Macaca fascicularis: one gene and its partners. The protein of the gene in region 1 interacts with the protein of each later gene in a biochemical or structural test. Links are inferred from orthologs where the notes say so. Each region holds a gene or a part of one and is shown on either strand. Other genes may lie near its edges. The genes, in order: FGFR2, FGF7 and FGF10.

What was found.
Region 2: the proteins of FGFR2 (region 1) and FGF7 form a complex in vitro, tested with the Homo sapiens proteins (3 studies listed by BioGRID). The link is inferred for Macaca fascicularis from reciprocal best matches to the Homo sapiens genes FGFR2 and FGF7.
Region 3: the proteins of FGFR2 (region 1) and FGF10 are reported together in a solved structure, tested with the Homo sapiens proteins (3 studies listed by BioGRID and IntAct, with this or other methods). The link is inferred for Macaca fascicularis from reciprocal best matches to the Homo sapiens genes FGFR2 and FGF10.

The regions. Positions count from the first base shown.
Region 1 is NC_088383.1:130,601,865-130,606,204, forward strand, and holds the start of FGFR2 (fibroblast growth factor receptor 2), read right to left. Parts: upstream 2,813-4,340; 5' UTR 2,340-2,812; intron 996-2,339; exon of another isoform or gene 831-995; intron 462-830; exon of another isoform or gene 319-461; intron 1-318. UniProt on the Homo sapiens protein: Tyrosine-protein kinase that acts as a cell-surface receptor for fibroblast growth factors and plays an essential role in the regulation of cell proliferation, differentiation, migration and apoptosis, and in the regulation of embryonic development.
Region 2 is NC_088381.1:25,997,588-26,000,670, reverse strand, and holds the end of FGF7 (fibroblast growth factor 7), read right to left. Parts: intron 2,879-3,083; coding exon 2,775-2,878; intron 1,691-2,774; coding exon 1,496-1,690; 3' UTR 501-1,495; downstream 1-500. UniProt on the Homo sapiens protein: Plays an important role in the regulation of embryonic development, cell proliferation and cell differentiation. Required for normal branching morphogenesis. Growth factor active on keratinocytes.
Region 3 is NC_088380.1:44,932,179-44,936,414, reverse strand, and holds the start of FGF10 (fibroblast growth factor 10), read left to right. Parts: upstream 1-1,334; 5' UTR 1,335-1,607; exon of another isoform or gene 1,608-1,698; 5' UTR 1,699-2,071; coding exon 2,072-2,396; intron 2,397-4,236. UniProt on the Homo sapiens protein: Plays an important role in the regulation of embryonic development, cell proliferation and cell differentiation. Required for normal branching morphogenesis. May play a role in wound healing.

The DNA of each region.
Region 1 (4,340 bases):
AAGCATTTCCAGAATGCAGGGGAATTTTCTACCTCTAACACGCCTTCAGGAACAATCCTAAGTCCTCGCAGAGGTTTCGCCCCAGGCTCCTTCCCCAGCCTGCTCCCCTACCTGTCCCTAACCAGAGAAGCCTCCTTGGCTCCAGGCAGAGAAAGGTGGACAGGGCTCTCCGCTGAATCTCAAGCCATTCCATCATCCTGCTAGCTTGCACTAGAAATTTGCATTTCAGCCATTTCCAGGTCCAAGCCCCACAGCAGCCCCCTCCCCAAAACTCTGGAAGGCGGGGACCTAAGGCGACAGGTCTGCACAGCTCCTCACCCAAGTGGACAAAAGTATGGTGCGACCTCCTAGGCAGGATAATTAGGTCCCCAGGCTCGGTGTTGGGAACACAGGCCCAGCATGCCGCTGGCGGCCACAATCCCGGCTTCCTGCCTTCAATGCCATAATCCTTCCTGGAGTCTGAGCCCCAGTGAAAGCCCCAGCGTGTTTATTTTTCCCCTTGAAAGGGAACTCTCTTCTCAGCCTGCACGCGGGAGGAGTTGTCACCCTCCCTCTGATGGATGGCTCTTCTCGGCCGCCCGCCCCCCCCCCCCCCGGTCCATTTTCACCTCGGCACAAGCCTGCCCCCAAAGACAGGCAGAGTGACAAGCAGGAAGGGCTTGGCTGCGGAGTGGTCCCCATGCCAGGCCTGTGCTGGGCTCTTCAATTTACCATGACATTCCCAAAACCCCGGCCCTCCAAGAAGGCAGATCAATACAATGCCCTCCGCTTTGGGCTTCCACCTAAGGGGTGATCTGTCGACACACTGCTGGCTCGGCCACCGGGAGCACCTGGCGTTTTCTTCCTAGGTAGATTTCACATCAGGAAAGTCAACAGTGCCCGGCTCCTCCAAAGTGCAGACCCATCTCTTCGCTTAAGGCCTCCCTACTTCTCCCCAGCACTGAGTAGGAGCGGGAGCTGTCAAGGGGTCAAGTCTGGGGGGGAAATTCCTCAACAAATTGAAATCTCAAAACACACACACTGACTCAGGACCACAATGCCCTCCCAGTTTAATGCTTGCGTCCAATCAGAACTTGCGAGCAGCTTGGGGGTGCTCCTCACCACCACCCCCTTTCAGGGCAGCACTTCTTTCATTTGTTTGCCTGAAATATCCTGTTTTTCTCCCCCTTCTCGGGGCGCTAAAGAGCTCAGAGAAATCTGCATTTTAATTGACATTCCAGGGAAAGGGAGAGGGGCGCCTGATTGCTTTTCTATTCAAACTAAACAGGCTTTTCAGATGAAAATGAGTCGAGCCCGGTGGAAGATTTACAGGGATTTGGGACCAGGGGGACAATGGAGTTTTAAATGTTGATAGCGTTTCACACCAAACACATAATGGGTGCCCTGAGTTTGAAAGCAGGTTTGCCTTTAAGGGTAGGTTTTATTGTATTGGGCGAAAAGAAGGAGGGTCTGGAGAACGATCTGCAAGGGAGTGGGGTGCGAGGAGAGCGACGGAGGCTGGTGCCCCCGGGCCGGCCTCCTGCGCCAGGTTCGCGGTCCGCGAGGGTCGGAGCCAGCGCCACGCAGGGCCCTCGGCTGATTTCCCCAGCGCGGCCCCGTCGCCGAAAGAATGAGCAAGAATGAGCGCGCAAGTTAGAACTCGCCTGCGCTTTCGACATCTCCCAGCCGCTGCGGCAGAGCAAGCAGACGAACTAGAAAAAGTCGGTCCAGTTCGCCCCCTAGCCCCAGGCGCGCTGCGCTCCCTCCAGCGCCGACGGCGGCTGTGGGCGAGGGGCGCCCCGGCACCGAAAACCAGGCACTGGAGCCGTCGCCTCCCCAACAGTGCCACCCTTGACCATCGCCACCCCTACGGGATGTCACCGGCCCCACCCCAGCGGCCCCCTCCCGAAAAACGAGTCTCCGTGGGGCCTGGATGGGACGGAAGTTCCCAGGACCCACGGATGGAGCACCTCAGAGATGCCCCCTGGGACCCGGCCTGCGGGGCTGTGCCACGGGCAGGCGAACCTTCGGCCAGTCTGCTCTGGGGTCGGAGAAACGTGCCCAGTCAGCGGGAATGCGCCCGCCAGGGTTTGACAGGGAGGGGGGCGTCAACGCCAGAGGCAGATGTCAGCATCTGGATGGGGGTGGCAGAGGCAGAACTTCCCGAACACCGGCCGTCAGCACGCACCCACCTCCCCCATCACCTATGCAGCCACAGAGAGAGGACACGGAGGGCCCTCCACAATGCCAGTCCTTCCGCGCCCCCCGCCCAGAGGACTGTGCACCCGGCGTCCCGGGCTCCCCTGGCGTCCACGTCCCCGACTGGGGAAGCTCCCCGAGGCGTCTTGCGCGGCGATTACCTTGAATGGCAACGCTCCTCCGCGATCTGTGTTATCCCCGCGCCCCGCGTGGGTCGGGATGGAGAAAGCGACGAGCCCGGGGTTGAGGGGAGCAACTCCAAAACGCAGAAGAGTGGTCCTTGGGTCTTCGCCGGCGCCAAGGCTCCCGGGCTTCAAGCGTACCCCAGGCTGCGGAGGAGCGCGGGCATGACGCCCGCGGGCTGCCCTCGGATTTGGGGAAGGAGAGAAAGAAAGGACTCAGGCTTGGCGTCGCCTCCACCAAACTTTGCTCTCGAGTTGCGAAGGCTCAGAGCGCGCAGGCAAGCTGCGGCCTCGGGGCCCCCGGGGCTCGCGGCCGGCCCCCGCCAGCCCGGAGAGCAGTCGCCGCGCCGGGCCAGGTACGCCGCATGCAGCCCCGCGGCGCCCGAGCTTTGTGGCGGCCGCGCGCGCTCGCTCGCCCGCTCCGCACCCGCCGCCCGCCCGCTCGGCTCTCCACCGCGCTCTCCTGCCGCCGCCGCCCGCGCCGCTGCCGCCGCCTCCGCCTCCTCGCGGCGGGTCACGCCCCCGCTGAAACCCGAGCCGTTTCCTGGACGGCGGCGCCCTCTCTGCCAATCAGCGCCGCGCGCCCGGGCCGCCCCGAGCCCCGCGCGGCTCCCGACGCCTCCGAGCTGCCGGAGACACCGGCCGGGGAGGCGAGGGCCCGGCCGCGATCCGGCCGTAGGGATGCAGCGACAGCCTCCGAATAAGGCCTGGTCCCGCGCCCCGCGCCACCTCCTCCCTCCTCCCCGGGCGAGCGAGGCTGGCCAGCGGCTCGCTGAGCGGCTGCGTTACGTTGTTTTATGTCAAGTTAGAAAACAAGTGACCAAAGGCTCTAACCCTGCCCTCCCCGTAAAGAGACTTTAAAATGCGCCTTCTTGGTACTGCGGGGAGGGTTGTCAGGCAACTGAAGCATTTGGAGGAGAGAAAGCAACTTGGAAATGTTCGCAGGACATTGCATTTTTCTGTCCTTCTAAACAATAGAAATGAGAGGAAAAAACTGAATATTAATGGAGGACCTAGTATGTGAGGGTCACACTACATAGGTGATTCTATTTCGTCTCCCCAACCACCCTGCAGGGTACTATTCCCAGTTTCTGATAAGGAAACTAAGGATCAGAGAGGTTAAGTAATTTGCCTAGGATCACACAGCTGGCTACTAGGAGAGCCTGACCTTGAATGTGGCTCTCTCAGAAAAAGTCAAAAATTGCATCCAAAAAAAAAAGTGTTTAGTATATATGTTTGGATTAATAAAACGAAATTCAAAGGAGTCTAAAGACTCTACCATAAATAGCTGGACCTTGAACAAAGTAATTCCTCCCTCTGAATCTTAGATTCAAAATCATAAATGCAAAATCTGATTCTTCAACTGCACGCCAAGCTGTAACTGGTTAAAGTTCCTATTTCCATTCACCTTTTCACTAAGCCATGTCTTCAGAATAATTTATTTTAAATATGCTTTTTCTCCCTCCTTATTCATCCAGCTCCTGAGCAGTTGTGCTTAAGTTCAAGACATATAGATTAAAACCTTAATTATTTTTCTTTAGAAAAGGTCACTAAACCCAGAAATGCTTTAGAATCCTTTTGAGGCCTAAAGATAGATGAAGCATTGAGAACAAACCTGACTTGGAAAACAGACTTTTCCTGCATTTAGAAACGTATTTGCACCTGTGTCACTAACATTGCACACTTCATAACATTTACAAAAATATTTTTCAAGGTACCACATGATTAGAAAATCATTTTTATTCACAATATAGCACAGAAAACGTTTATACAAGTTACTTAAAAGCCATACAAGTAAGAAATCCATTTAACTGTCTCAGGCAAAAGGCTATAACATTATATTTTGGAAGTTTGATAGCAACAAAATAAAAACTGGTTCTTAAGTAAAATTATCCCTCTATATGCTTGGTAGGAGGGTATGTTTTTGGTCAAGTCCTCTAACCTGGATTAGCCCAGAGCCTGTACATTAACAGACACCTC
Region 2 (3,083 bases), on another chromosome or scaffold:
GGCTGACCTCAAGCCCTCATGACATTCAGGGCCCCTTATTCCTAACTGTATCTTCTATTTTGGGCATTGTGCTCTTGCCATCTAACAGGAAAACAACTTTCAGTGCTGCCACCTTTTGAACAGCAGAGATTTCTAGAGATTAGAAAATGACTAAATTTAAATACACATAGTTTAAAAATATGATACTTTTCTACTCATGCATTCAAATATATTCTAACTTTAAAATCGTGTAAATACTTATATTTGTAATGATTTCACTTATATGATCCAATTAATTGGCAAGAATATGTGGCAAAAGATTTTTTACACATTTGTATTGTTCCGTGTGAGACATCTATTGTAAGCATTGCTTCAGGCTCTCATTTTTGTCTGCCTTCCAGGATTTGCTGGCCCAAGTGCTGTGTGCTAGACTTAGTGTCAGTCACAAAGGGGAGGGAAACTTGCAGTTGAGCCAGACAGTTTTGTTATTCCTTTAAAATTAAAAGCATATGAAACAGATAGAGCTTATTAAGGTTTTTTTTTTTTATAAATAACATAAACTTAAATAACAAAACAATAAAGTTCAAAAACAACTTAAAATAGAGTTTAATGCTGTAACCATAGGAAAAAAAGCATGATTATTTGTGGGAAGAACATTATTAAAAGCCATATTCCCAAATATGAATTATACAAAGATAGATTATGTTACTTGAAAAAAACTTAAAGATTTCTCAATTTTACTTTGAGGAATTATAAAATGTTATTTTGTGGCAAGTGAGATGAAGTACAGTATTATCATCAATCACTGTTGCTATTTTATATACAAGATTTTTGGAAACATCCTTTTAGCAATACCCTTTCCACTTGAGCAGCATTAGAAATTTTGTTCTTGTTAATAGGTATAAGCATGTTCTAATCCTGTACTTTTGTTAAATTATCTATTTTACTGACTTTCATAATAGATTTTTTTGGAGAATATTCTTTTTTTCTGATTAGAGTTTAAGTAGATTATAATTTTTCACTAGAAAGCATTTAAAATGCTGCTAATTTTCCATAGTTAGTGTGGCTTGATTATCTGACAAATCCTGCCAGCAGCCTGTAGGTCTGATATACCTTATATAACATCATCTGCATTATTATTATTATAGCAGCCATTTTATAAGCAGATAGGAATATTTAAATAATCATTATCAGATAATCAAATCTAACATACTCTTAAGGGTAAATTAATTTAAGAAAAAATTACTATTACTAACACCATGATTGTACAACCAGTTTTACAATTTTTTACAACCTTTAGTTACTAAATCTGATTTTTGTGTATACTTTTCAAATCTTTCTTTAATGCAGTGTCTTAAACATAAATGCACAAGTCCAGCTTGATCAGTTTTTCAGTAGTTTTCCAGCCTTTCTTGGTTACTAAAAAATAAAAGGAAAGAAAATTTTGAGAAGAAAGAAAACAGTCCACTTAAAGAAATCTCCCTGCTGGAACTGGTTCTTTATATACCATATACAATTAAGTTATTGCCATAGGAAGAAAGTGGGCTGTTTTTTGTTCCTTCTTCGTTTTTTTTCCTCTTACAGGAATCCCCTTTTGATTTAAGGCAACAAACATTTCCCCTCCATTGTGTGTCCATTTAGCTGATGCATATGTGTTGTAATGGTTTTCCAGAATTAGTTCTTTGAAGTTACAATCTTCATTGCATTCTTTCTGTTAAAACAAACAAACAAACATTATTCAGATGATTTTTAGAGAGGCTCAATTAAACGAAGAGTAAGCAGGTAATATTTGGTAGAATTGAAACATACATGACTTTTTTTAACCCTCAGATTGAGCAGGCCAAATGTGGTTTATCAGCTATACTTATGTGGTATATTTGCATAAAAAGGTATCTTAAATTTAAAATAAAAACACCACGTAATACACAGTTAGTTATGAAATATGTGTAGCTTTTTGGCAGTTCATGTCAACTATTCTTTAAAATTAGCACCTATTTCCCCCTAAGTAACAGGCCTCATATTACTATTCCCACATCACTCATTCTTTAACCACTGGAAATTTGGTGTAATTAGCCTAACTTCTGCCTCCCTCAAGTGAGAGACTTGTTTCACAACTTTTCTTTATTTACTTCTACATTGTGTTCAATGGTAATGGAAGATAAAAGGTTAATTTGTTTGTTCATCCATGCAATCATTTGTTCATTCAATTAAACCTATATCATTATATAATTAGCCTGTCCCAGGCATTATGCTGAGCTGTGGGAATATAAAGGAAAGCCAATTATATTTTATTATAGTGGGATGAACTGTTACATATTTTGCATTGTAGTGAAGTGGGAACAATGTGAATAATTACAGTTCAAAGCCCATGATTGTGAGATTGATGTTGATAAATGAACTAAACATTTCAAGATTTTTTTCCCAAGAATTTTCATGTCAGCAATGTGCAAGTTGGGTGACCTTTAACAAAAAGAGCTTTAATACTGGCAAATGGAAATTTTGGATTTTAAATATCTAAAATGCACATGGAATTTTAGAGCTGGAAGGATGCTTAGAGGTCAGTTCATTCAACTCATTTTACAGATGAAGAAACCAAAATCCAAAGAACAAGCCATTTGTCCAAAGTCACACAGAAAACATTTTTTTCTTAATGTTTGAGTAAAAAGTGTTTTAATAAAATCATTATATTAATACAGTTGGAGATAAATTAATTCCATTTTTACTTTTCAGAAAGGTGAGATATTTTGACAAAAATTAGTTTTAAAAATTAAGCCTAAGCTATCAATTATCAATACCTTTGCATAGAGTTTTCCTTCCTTATTCATTGCAAGATAGAATTCACTTTCCACCCCTTTGATTGCCACAATTCCGACTGCCACTGTCCTGATTTCCATGATATCTGCAAGGAATCACAGAAAGACATGTCAAGTATTCGTTCAGCTTTGCAGATGATCCAAGAATGGCCATTTGTTCTTATTTCTGTTTTAATTGGAAGTTTTAAAAATTTTTAATGTGATTATTTACTCAGCCCAAGACCCCGACCCACAACAGATACACACAAACACCAGAATAGTCATTATATAAGGGAAGTACAAACTGATGGG
Region 3 (4,236 bases), on another chromosome or scaffold:
TCATTCCAGTACATGTTTAGGCATTCCTTCTAGTTAAACGTTCCCTAGTTTAGAGTCATTCTTAAAGAAGTGGTCCTCTAGGAGTTGTTTCTTATTCAGATTGGGATGGATTATCACAGTATTTCCTTTTTTGTGCCTCTTAACTCTTGGCAAAGGCTTCCTAGCCTTGGACTTAGTTCTGTCAATACCTGGGCTGTGAGCTAGTTTCTGCGAGCAAGGGGGGAGTTGGAGTGGCGTTAAAGAGTGTGAAAAGGAGAGGAAGACTCCTAGAGCAGTGATATTGTAAAACAGAGCCCTTTAAACATAAAATGTGAAGATAGATAAAATTAAAAAAATAAAAAAATAAAAAACCTCCACTTTCTGACTAAGTGCAAAGGAAATTGCATAGAAAAGAAAACAGACAGCAGGGTATTCAGCCAAACTGTATGGTAAAATCTTTGCGATCGCCATAAAGTGCGTTTGCTTTGAAGTGCACGCGTGATTCAGTGAAGGGCTCATGTTAGCAATTAGAAATCGGTTATTTGGGTCCCTGATTTCATTTGCGCCAAGAGAGAGGCAACTTTTAAGGGTGACGATAAATCTCCCTGAGCTTAAAAGGCAGAAAGGGCCAAAGTGTGAACTTTTTACTTCAGCAACGGAAGCGAGAAATCAGTGATTCATTAAAGAGGAGACCTCCTTGGAAGCTGGCAGCAGAGGAGGAAAGGACGCTAATTATGTCTTCCTTTTCTGTGCTCGCTCCGATCAGTTTATAATCTGCTGCTCTGGAGGGTTTAAAATCCTCAGCATCTTCTGCTTTCTCCCAGCCCTCTCCTCTTCTCGGAGTGAGAAGGGGGAAAAAGTCAGCCAAGCATCAGGCTCCAGGTGGCTCTCAAGTACTTCACTGCCAAAAGAAATGGGGGTGGGGGGGAGGATATCCTACGCTGGAAAACAAGTGAGAAAGGGGCTCCCCAGAAGGGATTAGTTCAGGCTGGAAGACAGCAAAATTCGGAAAGCTGGAGGATACCGTCAGCGCCGTGGCCCGCGCTGCGAGCAGGACGCTTTAGCAACGAATTTGCCAGAGCTAGAGGCGCCGGCGGCGGCTGCGGCCGCAAGAGCAGCTGCGAGGAAGGGACCTGGCAGCCCCCAAGCTGGATGCAAAGGCATCGCGCTCTCTCCTCGCTCCCCTGCTCCCCCACCCCCTTCTCTGCCCCTTTCACCCTCCCTCTCCCTGGCGTTCCCAGCAGCGTAGGGTTTCAGATGTCCCACCGCCGGTTGACCCCCTCCCCCCTCTTCTCCACCCCTGCAAATGAGGTTTGACCAGCAGAGGCAGAGCCCACCTCTGGCTTAGAATCACTGACATTTAGACTCCAGGTTTCAACCTGTTTACAAGCGGACTTTCCAAAGGAAGGGGGTGGGGGATAGGGCCATACAAAACATCAGCCGCCGTCCCCCAAAACAAAAAGTGGCTTTCGGCAGCCTTCAAATCGGCAGGCACCACTAAAAACAGAAGGGAAGAGAGGGAAGAAAACAACGGCGACTGGGTAGCTGCCTGCAGTTCTGACAACTCCAAAGGGATACACTTGTAGAAGCGGCTCGCAGGCTGGGGCTCCGCAGAGAGAGGCCAGAAGGTGCCAACCGCAGAAGGGCGCAAATATCTTCCCCTATTCCCCACCCCACCTCCCTTGGGTTTTGTTCACCGTGCTGTCATCTGTTTTTCAGACCTTTTTGGCATCTAACATGGTGAAGAAAGGAGCAAAGAAGAGAACAAAGTAACTCCTGGGGGAGCGAAGAGCGCCGTGACCAACACCACCACCGCCACCACCAGCTCCTGCTTCTGCGGCCACCCACGTCCACCATTCACCGGGAGGCTCCAGAGGCTCAGGCAGCGGATCCCAGAAAGGAGCGAGGGGAGGCAGCCGGCTTTTCCAAGGAGTTATGGATGTTGGTGCATTCACTTCTGGCCAGATCCGCGCCCAGAGGGAGCTAACCAGCAGCCACCACCTCGAACTCTCTCCTTGCCTTGCACCAGGTCTTACCCTTCCAGTATGTTCCTTCTGATGAGACAATTTCCAGTGCCGAGAGTTTCAGTACAATGTGGAAATGGATACTGACACATTGTGCCTCAGCCTTTCCCCACCTGCCAGGCTGCTGCTGCTGCTGCTTTTTGTTGCTGTTCTTGGTATCTTGCGTCCCTGTCACCTGCCAAGCTCTTGGCCAGGACATGGTGTCACCAGAGACCACCAATTCTTCTTCCTCCTCCTTCTCCTCTCCTTCCAGCGCGGGAAGGCATGTGCGGAGCTACAATCACCTTCAAGGAGATGTCCGCTGGAGAAAGCTATTCTCTTTCACCAAGTACTTTCTCAAGATTGAAAAGAACGGGAAGGTCAGCGGGACCAAGAAGGAGAACTGCCCGTACAGTAAGTAACAAATGCGTGCTCCCCTCCTTCCAATTATCCACCCCCAGCCCACACGGGGGGGGAAAAATCTCTTCCAGATGTGGCCAGCTAAATATTTACGTCCCCAACCCCTGTAAAATGATTAAGTGGAATACTTTCACACTAATTCACCACCCGCCCCCCCGCCGCGTGTATACATTGTGCTGCCGCATCGCCTCCCTTAAGCGCGCTCCCTCCACATCCCCCACCCCTTGGCGCCCTGTACACCCCTTCCCTCCAGCCTGTCACTCGCCGGACCACGCAGGGCGCTCAAGAGAGTTGTTGCAGAGCAAAGATGCCCCTCTTCTCTCTCCACCGCCCTTCCCACCTCCTCCAAAGAGCTCTCTTTCCTTCCTTCTGGAAATGGCTCAAGTCAACACATTTTGTTTCTTTTCCCTGGAAATCTTGTTAAGTTTGGGACAGGCTCTTCAAGCTGAAAATAATCATCCGCTGTCAATTATAGGGGCTTTGTGGGAACTTTATTTAAGAAAGAAAAATCAATTCCACTCTCTCCCCACCCCCATCCCCTCACCCCAGCACCTCTAGATATGAGGGAAAAGCATTTTTCTGGTTTTGATTTTTGTTTTGTTTTGTTTTGCGTCCCTTATGTTAGTTTGAGTGATTGCAGTCCATGAAGTTAGCTTTTCAGGCACCACCGCTGCTATTTGTCTTCTGCCTGCCTTCTCTCTTGGTAACATGATGCTCGTGTCTGCATTGTCAATAGCGTATGCACTGCTTCGTGGTGTCCTGTTGTACTGTTTCTTCTGAAACCTCTCATATTGCAGAGCCATACTACTACAGCATTGTAAACATCTGGGGCTGGATTCACACAGACCTCACACAAATTTCATTGTCATTCTTTTATTTTCAAAGTAAAAGTCATAAGTCTGTTTCCATGGCTATAGTTTATCCTACAGTGTGACGTTTTCTCCTCAGTGTAAATTATGCCTGGGATCCATAGATTTTGTTCTTGCCTTTTCCCTCTCTCTTTCCTTCTTTCTCTCTTTCCCTTACTTCTTTCTTGCAGGGGTGTGGGCTGGTTGAGGGAGAGAGAACTAGAAGAGGAGGGGTGGATATTGTGTCTCTTCTTGAATCAACCCAGCAAAGCCAAATTACTCTGTTGACTTCCTTTCTCAGTTATTTTCAAGTGGTGAGACTTATTCATCCCCTGTTGATTATTATGTGAAAGGAACCCAAGACTTTGTAATGGCACACTGAAAACAGTAAACAATGATGTTTAAACATCTTTAGTGACCATTTGGCATTATCTCAGTGGTAAATTCCAAGTCACCTTTAAAGGAGACATTTTTGTGTTCGTTTTTCAGGAATTCTAAGCATAGATTGTCGGCTAACTTAAATACATGAGTCAAGCATTTAAAGATTCCTTGGTTTAGAAAGTACCAAGTACTAATGGGAATGACAGTTGACCAGAATTTAGCATTTTATTTTTGAATACAAATTTACAATAATTAAGAATTTAGTTTTCTTCTGTGGGGATGCACACACACTCAACATTAACTTCTGTTCCTCCTCAGCCACTGGTTCTATTTACTAAAATTCACAATATGTTTATAAGTAATAAAAATACGTGTAGAAGTGCTTTTAAAGTGTTTCATTTTATGTTTCATACTAGAGATAATTAAGTACTACATTACCTGATTCATAGAAAGTAGCTGAAATAATGTCATAATGATGACAATTATTTTTGCTTAAAAGTCATTTGTTACCTGAATTCATTAGATCCTATGTTTATAACCTTTAAGGTTTTTGATTAAAATTTTAAAAACTTTATTTTCTTCTAAAATAAAATAGTTGTGGTGTC